2 linked regions of the Canis lupus familiaris genome follow. The protein of the gene in region 1 purifies or fractionates together with the protein of each later gene. This does not show direct contact. Links are inferred from orthologs where the notes say so. Each region holds a gene or a part of one and is shown on either strand. Other genes may lie near its edges.

Region 1 (4,565 bases):
TTATTTAAACCCCAGTATTAGGGGGATCCCTGGGTGGCGCAGCGGTTTGGCGCCTGCCTTTGGCCCAGGGCGCGATCCTGGAGACCCGGGATTGAGTCCCACGTCAGGCTTCCCGTGCATGGAGCCTGCCTGTGTCTCCGCCTCTCTCTCTCTCTGTGACTATCATAAATAAAAATTAAAAACAACAAAAAAAGGATGACATTAAACCCCAGGATTCAGCTAAATGGGAGTAGTAGTTCCTCTTAGTACAGCTGTGAGGGTCTTAGTCCAGCTTTACGCTTGCACACCGTTTGAACCAGGTCGATCGCTCCCTCCCGAAGCACTTATTGCGAAACTTCCCGGTACCACGCTCCAAGTTCTGAAACTTCCCGGAGGCAGTACCAAGGCCCGCCTCTCTCGCACCGCCCTAGGTGACGTCACCGACCGAGGTCTCTAATGACGTCAGCTCCGGGCCGGCTCGGCTCCATCCTCCCCTTCTCCGGAAACCTACAACTCTCGGCACCCGGCCTCCAGCTTTCGGTTATTTTTTTTTCTCTTCGTAGCCCGAATTCCTTCCCTCCCATTCTCCCACCTAAAACTTTCAGCTCTTCCCGCCTTCCCTCCAGCTGGCAATTTTCGGTTCTTCCCGCTTGCTCTCGGCCGAATTTCCCACCCTTTTACTCTGTAAATCGCCTTTCGAGCCCCGCCCTTCGGCCTTTTCCGTCTAAATCCCTCTTTCGGCTAATTCCGCCTCCTGCCGTCCACCTCGGATGCCGCCTTCGGCTCCTTCCGGATCGCCTCAGTTCCTTGTTTTTCTCCCCCCAACTCCGTCCTGGTCCGCTTCGGCTATCTCCGGCTCCCGCGGCTTTCCATCTATCCTTTAGCCACACCCACGCTGCTACCTTCGGCTCTTTCCGCTCCCCCCCGTCTCCCGCTCAGGCGCTTTCGGCTCTTTCCGCCTTGCTTCGGCCTCACTCTCTCCCTTCGGGTCTTTCCGCCGCCCTTCGGGAGCGGGCCGGTGCCCCTCTCCACGTGACGCCGCCTCCGCCTCCTCCTCCCAGTTCCCCCTCCCACCTCGCCCTTCCTCCCGCCTCAGCCTCCCGGCTCCTCTGGGCCGAGCCGCCATTTTGTGTGAATTTCAGACTGCGGCGGGGGCCGAGCAGCCGGGGCACCGAGGGCGGGCAGACAGACAGACAGTCGGCCCGTCTCCGCAGCCCGTTTCCTCTCTCCTTAAAATCCTTTTTTTTAACCCCCTCGCTCGCTCTCCTCTTCTCCCCTCTCCCCTCGCTTGCTCCATCGCGCGCGGCCCGCGCTAATTACACCCAACCACCCACCAGTGTCCGTGTCCCCCGGGTCCCCCGCCTGTGGGCCCGCGGGGGAGGTGTGTGTGGGGGCTCTCGCCCCGATGAGGGCCCCGCGCCCGTGAGCGAGTGACCCCAGAGGCGGGCTGCGGAGAAAGGCGGCGAGCGGCCCGCCGAGGCCTAGGCCGCGCGGCCTACGCGGAGGTCGGCGCAGAGGTGATTCCGAAACCGAAAAAATATATACCCATTCCTATCAGGAGCCCTCAGAGCTGAAGTGTGCCCCTCCCGCCACGCCCAAGCAGTCCTTTTTCGTGCATTAACATCCCCTCCCCCCCAAAGGAACTATGGAGGCCGCGCCCGGGACCCCCCCGCCGCCACCATCAGAGTCGCCGCAGCCGCCATCGCCGCCGCCGCCATCAACGCCTTCGCCTCCTCCGTGTTCCCCCGACGCCTGCCCGGCCGCCCCGCACCTCCTCCACCACCGCCTCCCGCTCCCTGACGACAGGTCAGGCCCCCGGCCCGGCCGGGGCAGCGTCCCCGGGGGGAGGAAGAGGAGGAGGAGGAGGAAGGGGGGCGGCCGCCATGTTGGGCCGGGCCGCGGAGGAGGAGGAGGAGGAGGAGGAAGGGCGGGGTCGGTGGGTGTCTCTCGCTCGCTCGCTCTTTCTCGCTTGCTTTCTCTCCTGGCCTCATGCGTTTCCCCCCCCTCGCGGCGCTCGCCCGCTCTCCCTCGCTCTCGCTCTGTCTTTTTTGGGCGCCATGCTGAGGGGAAGGTGAGGAGGCGCCCCCGGACCCCCGCGCCCGCCCGCCCGCCCTGGGGAGGGGGCGCTGGGGGGGGGCGCTGCGGAGGCCCACGGGGGTCCTGGCTGCCCCAGCGCCCGGAGCTGGCAGCCATGGGCCCGCCTGCCCGTCGCCTGGCTTCGGGGAAGGGGATGGGGGAGGGGCTCCCGGACCCTTTTGGTGGTGGTGGGGATCTCGAGGAGTATCCCCGCTCTTAGGGGTTTGGAGTTGGGGGTCTCCCAGTCCCTGGCAGTATCCTTTCTCTTGGGGGAGGTGTGCCCTGCCCTACTTGGAGAGGTACCCTAGTTTTCTTAGGCAGAAAGTGGGGTTTCGTTTAGTCCTTTTTTCATCCTTTTAGTGGGGGGGGTCCTTAGGGTGGGGGCACTCGCACTTTTATTTTTTTTTGGCGGGAGGTGGTTCCTAGTTATTCCCTAGAGGGCAAAATTGGTGGTGGTGGGGGGGTGCGGATCTCTAGCTCCTTTGATGGAAATCCCTGCCTCCTTTTGGGGAGAAGCCCCTTCCCCGTATTTTTCCTTAAAGGCAAGGGTTCTCTAGATTTTCGTAGGTAGATGATGCGTTTTTGGAGGGGGGGGGGTGAGGTTTGGTTTCCCTGACTTGGAGGGGAGAGGAAGTTGGTCTCTTCTTTCTCATGGGTTCCCTCCTCTTTGGGGCTAAAATGGGGCGCCATCCCTTCCGGGAGAGAAAATTAGGGTTTTTTTTTAGTGTTTTGGCAGGGGTGAAAGGGAGCGCCCCCCATCCCTTCCTCTTTATAAAGTGCGAAATGGGTTCGCCCCACTCCCTTCCCTGGAGGGTGATAAAAGGGCCAGCCTGGCGCGTTTCAGGGCCCTCGTTTGCCCTGCTCCAGCAGAGGGTTGGGTGCAGGGTTTACCCTCCCTTTCCCGGTGGGGCAGAGGAAGAGGTATCTAGAGACTGGGTTTGGAAATGGAAGGTTTTCAGCCGGCAGGAAAGGCAGCCTGAGGAGGAGTGGGGGTGGGGAGGGGAAGCGATCTCGCTGGACAGATAGATGGCTGCCCCACAGCAGCCCGGGCTGGGGAGCCGCTTGAGGACCCTCTCCTAGATCAGGGGTCTTAGCTAGGGCCTCCTTGCCAGGCACCATGGCCCCTTCTCCCCACTTCCACCTCCCCTTTTCCCTTTCTCCTTCACAGACCATACTTTGCCTTTTAAAAGAAATGCCACCCACATTCAGAGACACAAGTGCAGCAGTTTGGTGAGCTTTTACAAAAAAAATTTTTTTTTTTTTTTTTGGTTTTCTGTTTTGTTCTAATTAAATGTATCGTCCTGGGAATCGCAGCCCATCGCAGCCTGCCTCCAGTTCAAGGAAATAAACAGATTAGCAAAGGTCTGTGCGCTAAGCCCACGTTGGGTTTCCGGGCCCCCTCTTGGGGGCAGGTGCATTACTCAAAGGTGCTTACACGCTTTATTCGACCTCTAAGGAGTTCTCTTATGTCAGAAGTGTATGTCTTACAATGGGTTGGGATGGTAAGTAGCCTCTTTTATTGAGTAATTCAATTATCTCCCTCTTTTTGTCCCTTTTCCTGCCTGCCTTCCTCCTGCCTTTAAAGACCAAAGTGATGCTTGAGTGAATTTATATGTTCGAATCAGGATTCTAACCCAGTTGAGCCCTTTTAGACTTGCACATCCTTTCTATCTTTAGTTTTTTTAATTTGTCGTACACAGTTTTCTCAAAGGAAAAAAAAAGCGTTACTGTAACATGACAAAAACTTATGTAAAAGACCCGTAGGTTTTCAAGCCCTTGGTTTCCCTATCTCCGTTTCAGTCCATTGCTTTGTCTCCAGCCTTCATCTTTGAAGAAAGTGGATACTTCAGATCCATTTGGTAGGAGACAAGGTTAACTGAATTCGGTTTATGATACTTGCATTCGAGTTAAGGTTCTCCCCTCCCTCCACCCCTACTACTACCCCCCCCTCCCAAAAAAAGATTGTGGTTCAAGTAGATCCAATTTGTTCCTTTTACTCCCAATGTCTCTTATGGTGATGGACGTTTAAATTGAGCAAGTCATTTGTAAAGTACTGTTTAAGCACCGAATCTGTAAAGCGTGTCAAGCCCCAATCTCCTCTCCCTGTCTCCACTGTTCCTTTGTTCGAAAGCACATGCCTGACCGTGAAAAGTTGATGCAAACACGCCCAGTCATGGTGGAGAGAACACTTCCTCCAGCCCCCTGCACCCCCCTCCCCACACATACAAGATAAAAACAGCAACAGAAATGACTTGCAGAACCAAACAAGTACTTCTGATGTGTTTTACAAGCATAAGTTCTTCGTTAAAAGACAAAACACGTTGAAGTTCCATTTTCCGTCTTCCCCACTTTTGGTCCCTAATGTACTTTGGTAGCAAAAACTTTATAACACACAGCCCCATTTTCCCCTCTGAAAGATCCTGTTTCCTTTTTTTTTTTTTTCGTTCTTAGGAGAAAAACAAAAGTTCACTCACGTTGGGTTGAGGAACCTTAAGCTGCAATTTAGTGGG
Region 2 (3,803 bases), on another chromosome or scaffold:
ACGCAGAGGGAGAACTACTGCTCCAACATTCTCTAAAGTCTACCACATACCTCCTCTACCATGGAAAAGGCTCCCATCTTACCCTTCAAAACTTCTGTAATGTCAAGATAGCTCAAAGACTCAAAGGTTTTACCTTATCAAAAGAGCGAAGGTCATAAAGTTTAACCATTTCAGAATTGACACCTGCAGCAAAAATTAACCCTTCTGGATCAAAGGAACAAACTGGCTTGCCTTGTAGATGCATGAGGCCCTAAGAAAAAATAAAAAGAAAAGTTAATGAACCCAGGATTCTACCATTATATAATTAATTTTTTCCAATAAAAACTAAGAAAGGGACACAAAAAAGGATACCTGCCTACCTAGGGAATGAAAAAGCAAAAAACTAAAATGAGGGTTTTTACAAACACATCTCCATAAAACTAGCTTCATCAGCCCTAACTGTACAATTCTATAAACACTGAATTCAAATAAAAGCTATAGCTCACAGGTTTTAGGAAAACGGTTTTGAAAGCAAAAAGCCACAGAGCATAACACAATATGCACTGGATTAGTGTATTTGCTTAATTACCAGCTACCTACCAGGAAGACAGATTTTCTCCAAAGTTTAGAAAGACTCTGGGATCTCAAAATAGAATCATTACTTTCTCCTTTCTTTGAGAGGAGGAGCTGATGACATTGCCTACCATAGAAAACACTCAAAGTGTAACTGTGAGGTACCATTACCTGGCAGTTAGGAGACCGGAGATCCCAGAGTCGAATGGTCTTATCAAGAGACCCAGAAATGAAAGTGTCATCCACAGGTGACATGGACAAGGCCACCACCCTGCAATGCATCAAGATAAATAGGAGTTGAAGCAAAATATTTGCAAAAATTGGATGTGAACTCTAAACCCCTCTATCTACACCTGTTCTTCCAAAACTGCCATTTTAAGAAACATACATATACAAGTAATCTGGAATAACCAAAGGCAACTAATATAATGAGAAAAGAAACAAAACTACAACATAAAAATGTAAATCAAACCACAAGGAGATATTACTTCACAATAGATAAGTGTTGGTAAGGATATGGAGAAATTAGAACTCTCACGCATTGCTGACTGGAATGTAAAATGGTGCAGTTGCTTTTTAAGTTTTCCAGTTCTTCAAAAAGTTAAAGACAGATAATTACTAAAGGGCCCAGAAATTCCACCTCTAGGTATATACCCAAGGGCAATGAAAGTATGTCTACACAAAAATGTACACATATGTCCACAGCAGCATTATTCATATTACCCGAAGAGTAGAAACAACCCCAATGCCCATCAACTAATGAATGGATAAGCAAAATGTGGTACATACATATAATAAAACATTATTTGCTAACAAAAAGAAATGAAGCCCTGGTTCATGTTACAACATGTATTCACCTTGGAAACATAGTAAATGAAAGAACTGGACATAAAAGGCCACACAGTGTCTCATTTACACAAAATATCCAGAATAAGCAAAGCTATAGAGACAGAAAGTAGATTAGTGATTGCTGGGGACTTGAGAAGAGGGAATGAGAAGTGACTGCTAATGGGTGCAGGGTTTCTATTTGGGAGTTATGAAAATGTTTTGGATTAGTGATGATTGTTGCCCAACTCTGTGAATATACTAAAAACCTGAACTGGGTACTCTGAGAGGATGAATTTATGGTATTAAACTATATTACAATTAAAAAACAAAACAAAAAACTCTCATGATTCCTTAGGGTTTTGAGGACTACACTAACAGTCTCAAACCTGAGTGCCATTTGCATCACCCGAGGGGTGGACTGAAACACAGACTACTGGGATCTACTCCTAGAACTTCTAATCCAGTAGGTCTGGGGTGAGGTCTGAGAACTTGTACTTCTTTCTAACAAGCTCCTAGGTGATGATAAGACTGTTGGCTTGGGCACCACACTTACTAAGCCACAGGTCTGTGCTAATAGCAACTGTATTTTTGATATGGGTCCCCTTTTGTGGTTATAGCATTAAGAGTCACTCACTAGAAGACCTCTCTTCAAAAGGTTCACCCTGAGCTCTCTTGTCCCCTCTGCTCATTTTCTCACTCTACCACACCCTGCTCTGAAGATACACACTGCCTCCCAAGCATTTGGGCCTGGCCTGCAAGGAAGGACGGCACGTGGCTCTACTTCATCTGCCTCTCAGAACACACCACAACCCCAACCCAAATGAGGGGAGCTAGGACCTATATAGCACCTATGATTCTACAGTACCACCTACAGAGAAAGCCCTTGTGAAAACAGACATTTGGATAACTCTTCCTTCCGAATTATGGAAGAGTAGTTCCATACATTCTGGCTTGGCTGTAAAACACTTCACAGATACAGGAGCTGATATTATAGATGAAGATTATAAAAGAAATGTTGGTGTTGTGCTATCTCATTTTGACAAAAGCTTGAAGTCAAAAAGATGACCAAAATCGCACAGCTTATTTGTGAATGAACTTTTTTTTAAATTTTTATTTATTTATGATAGTCACACAGAGAGAGAGAGGCGGAGACATAGGCAGAGGGAGAAGCAGGCTCCATGCACCGGGAGTCTGATGTGGGATTCGATCCCGGGTCTCCAGGATCGCGCCCTGGGCCAAAGGCAGGTGCTAAGCCGCTGCGCCACCCAGGGATCCCGTGAATGAACTTAAAAAAAAAAAAAAAAAATCTAGAAATAGAAGTTGTTCAAGTTTTGGATGACACTGTAAGGGGTTCAGGAAGTTTTCGTGCCACTGGAAAGAATTAAAATTTATGCCATGAATAGAAAATGAGAAAATACACTTTTTTAAATAAAGTTTTTATCTAAAGAAGAATTTCTAACAATTCAACTCAACTAATATCTGGACTAGTTCCTCAACTTAAACATTTAAAGATATCGTAAGCCAAAATTTCCTGAATGCTGAGGTGGTAATAAAAGAGTGAGCAGAATGCATGTGGACATGTAATTTTAATGCCATGGTATTCAGGGCAAAAGCTCAGAGGAAATCTGTCTTGGCACAAGACTCTATGCTAAGAGATAAAGGATATACAATGAGAAGCAAAACCTCAACTTTAAGAAATAAGAAAGCTTAACTAGCCCAAAGAAATCTGAGAGATGGTCAGAGAAGGCCTTCCAGAAGAAGCAGCACACATAGAGGACAGGATTTCATCGGGAAATGCCCTTACAGAAAAAGTGCCAGGTAGGAAGGCATGAGGTCCACATTCAGGAAGCAGCCCAGAGTTCACCTTAACTCAAATGTCAGGAGATAATGCTAAGAAAATGAGAGCTGAAGGGAGGCAAGCTTGATTCCAAAGGAAAGGAGCAGACAGATACAGCGAACCATTAAAGTTTCCGGGCAGAGACTGTGAAGTGGTCAGAGCTGTACATAGGATGCTAAAGCAGGATGATGAGGGATTGGGAGATTAATTAGGATTTGCCAATAATTCACTTGATATAGGGCATGAGCTGGGGCAGAAGAAAAGGAAAGAACAGAGCGAAGTGACACATGAGGTTAAACCTAGGCAGAATCAATAGGATTAACAGCTCACTACATGTGAAAGCAGGGAAAGAAAGCAAACAAGTAACAGAGGCTTTGAGTCAGGATAATTAGAAGAACAGTGATGAGGAAATATGACACAAACAGAGAAGAGTGGGCCCAAGGCATGTAACAACGAGGGATGGTGTGCTGGACCTATCAGGTGGGGGCATGAAAGAAACACCTACTTAGACGTATATAAAACCTGGAGGTGGAAATGGAGTCTGGAAATCAGAATAGACATGAATTGAAAACACTGTTTTGGGAAG

Evidence for each region.
Region 2: the proteins of ZC3H4 (region 1) and WDR82 purify together in Homo sapiens (affinity purification with western blotting; 4 studies listed by BioGRID and IntAct, with this or other methods). This does not show direct contact. The link is inferred for Canis lupus familiaris from reciprocal best matches to the Homo sapiens genes ZC3H4 and WDR82.

Annotation. Positions count from the first base shown.
Region 1 is NC_049222.1:109,556,762-109,561,326, forward strand, and holds the start of ZC3H4 (zinc finger CCCH domain-containing protein 4), read left to right. Parts: upstream 1-1,624; coding exon 1,625-1,785; intron 1,786-1,847; exon of another isoform or gene 1,848-1,862; coding exon of another isoform or gene 1,863-1,915; intron 1,916-1,921; exon of another isoform or gene 1,922-2,036; coding exon of another isoform or gene 2,037-2,050; intron 2,051-3,223; exon of another isoform or gene 3,224-3,247; coding exon of another isoform or gene 3,248-3,285; intron 3,286-3,378; exon of another isoform or gene 3,379-3,534; coding exon of another isoform or gene 3,535-3,557; intron 3,558-4,529; coding exon of another isoform or gene 4,530-4,565. Other genes in the region: SAE1 (SUMO-activating enzyme subunit 1), read right to left, coding at 4,530-4,565. UniProt on the Homo sapiens protein: RNA-binding protein that suppresses transcription of long non-coding RNAs (lncRNAs). LncRNAs are defined as transcripts more than 200 nucleotides that are not translated into protein.
Region 2 is NC_049241.1:37,911,821-37,915,623, reverse strand, and holds part of WDR82 (WD repeat-containing protein 82), read right to left. Parts: intron 824-3,803; coding exon 724-823; intron 251-723; coding exon 134-250; intron 1-133. UniProt on the Homo sapiens protein: Regulatory component of the SET1/COMPASS complex implicated in the tethering of this complex to transcriptional start sites of active genes.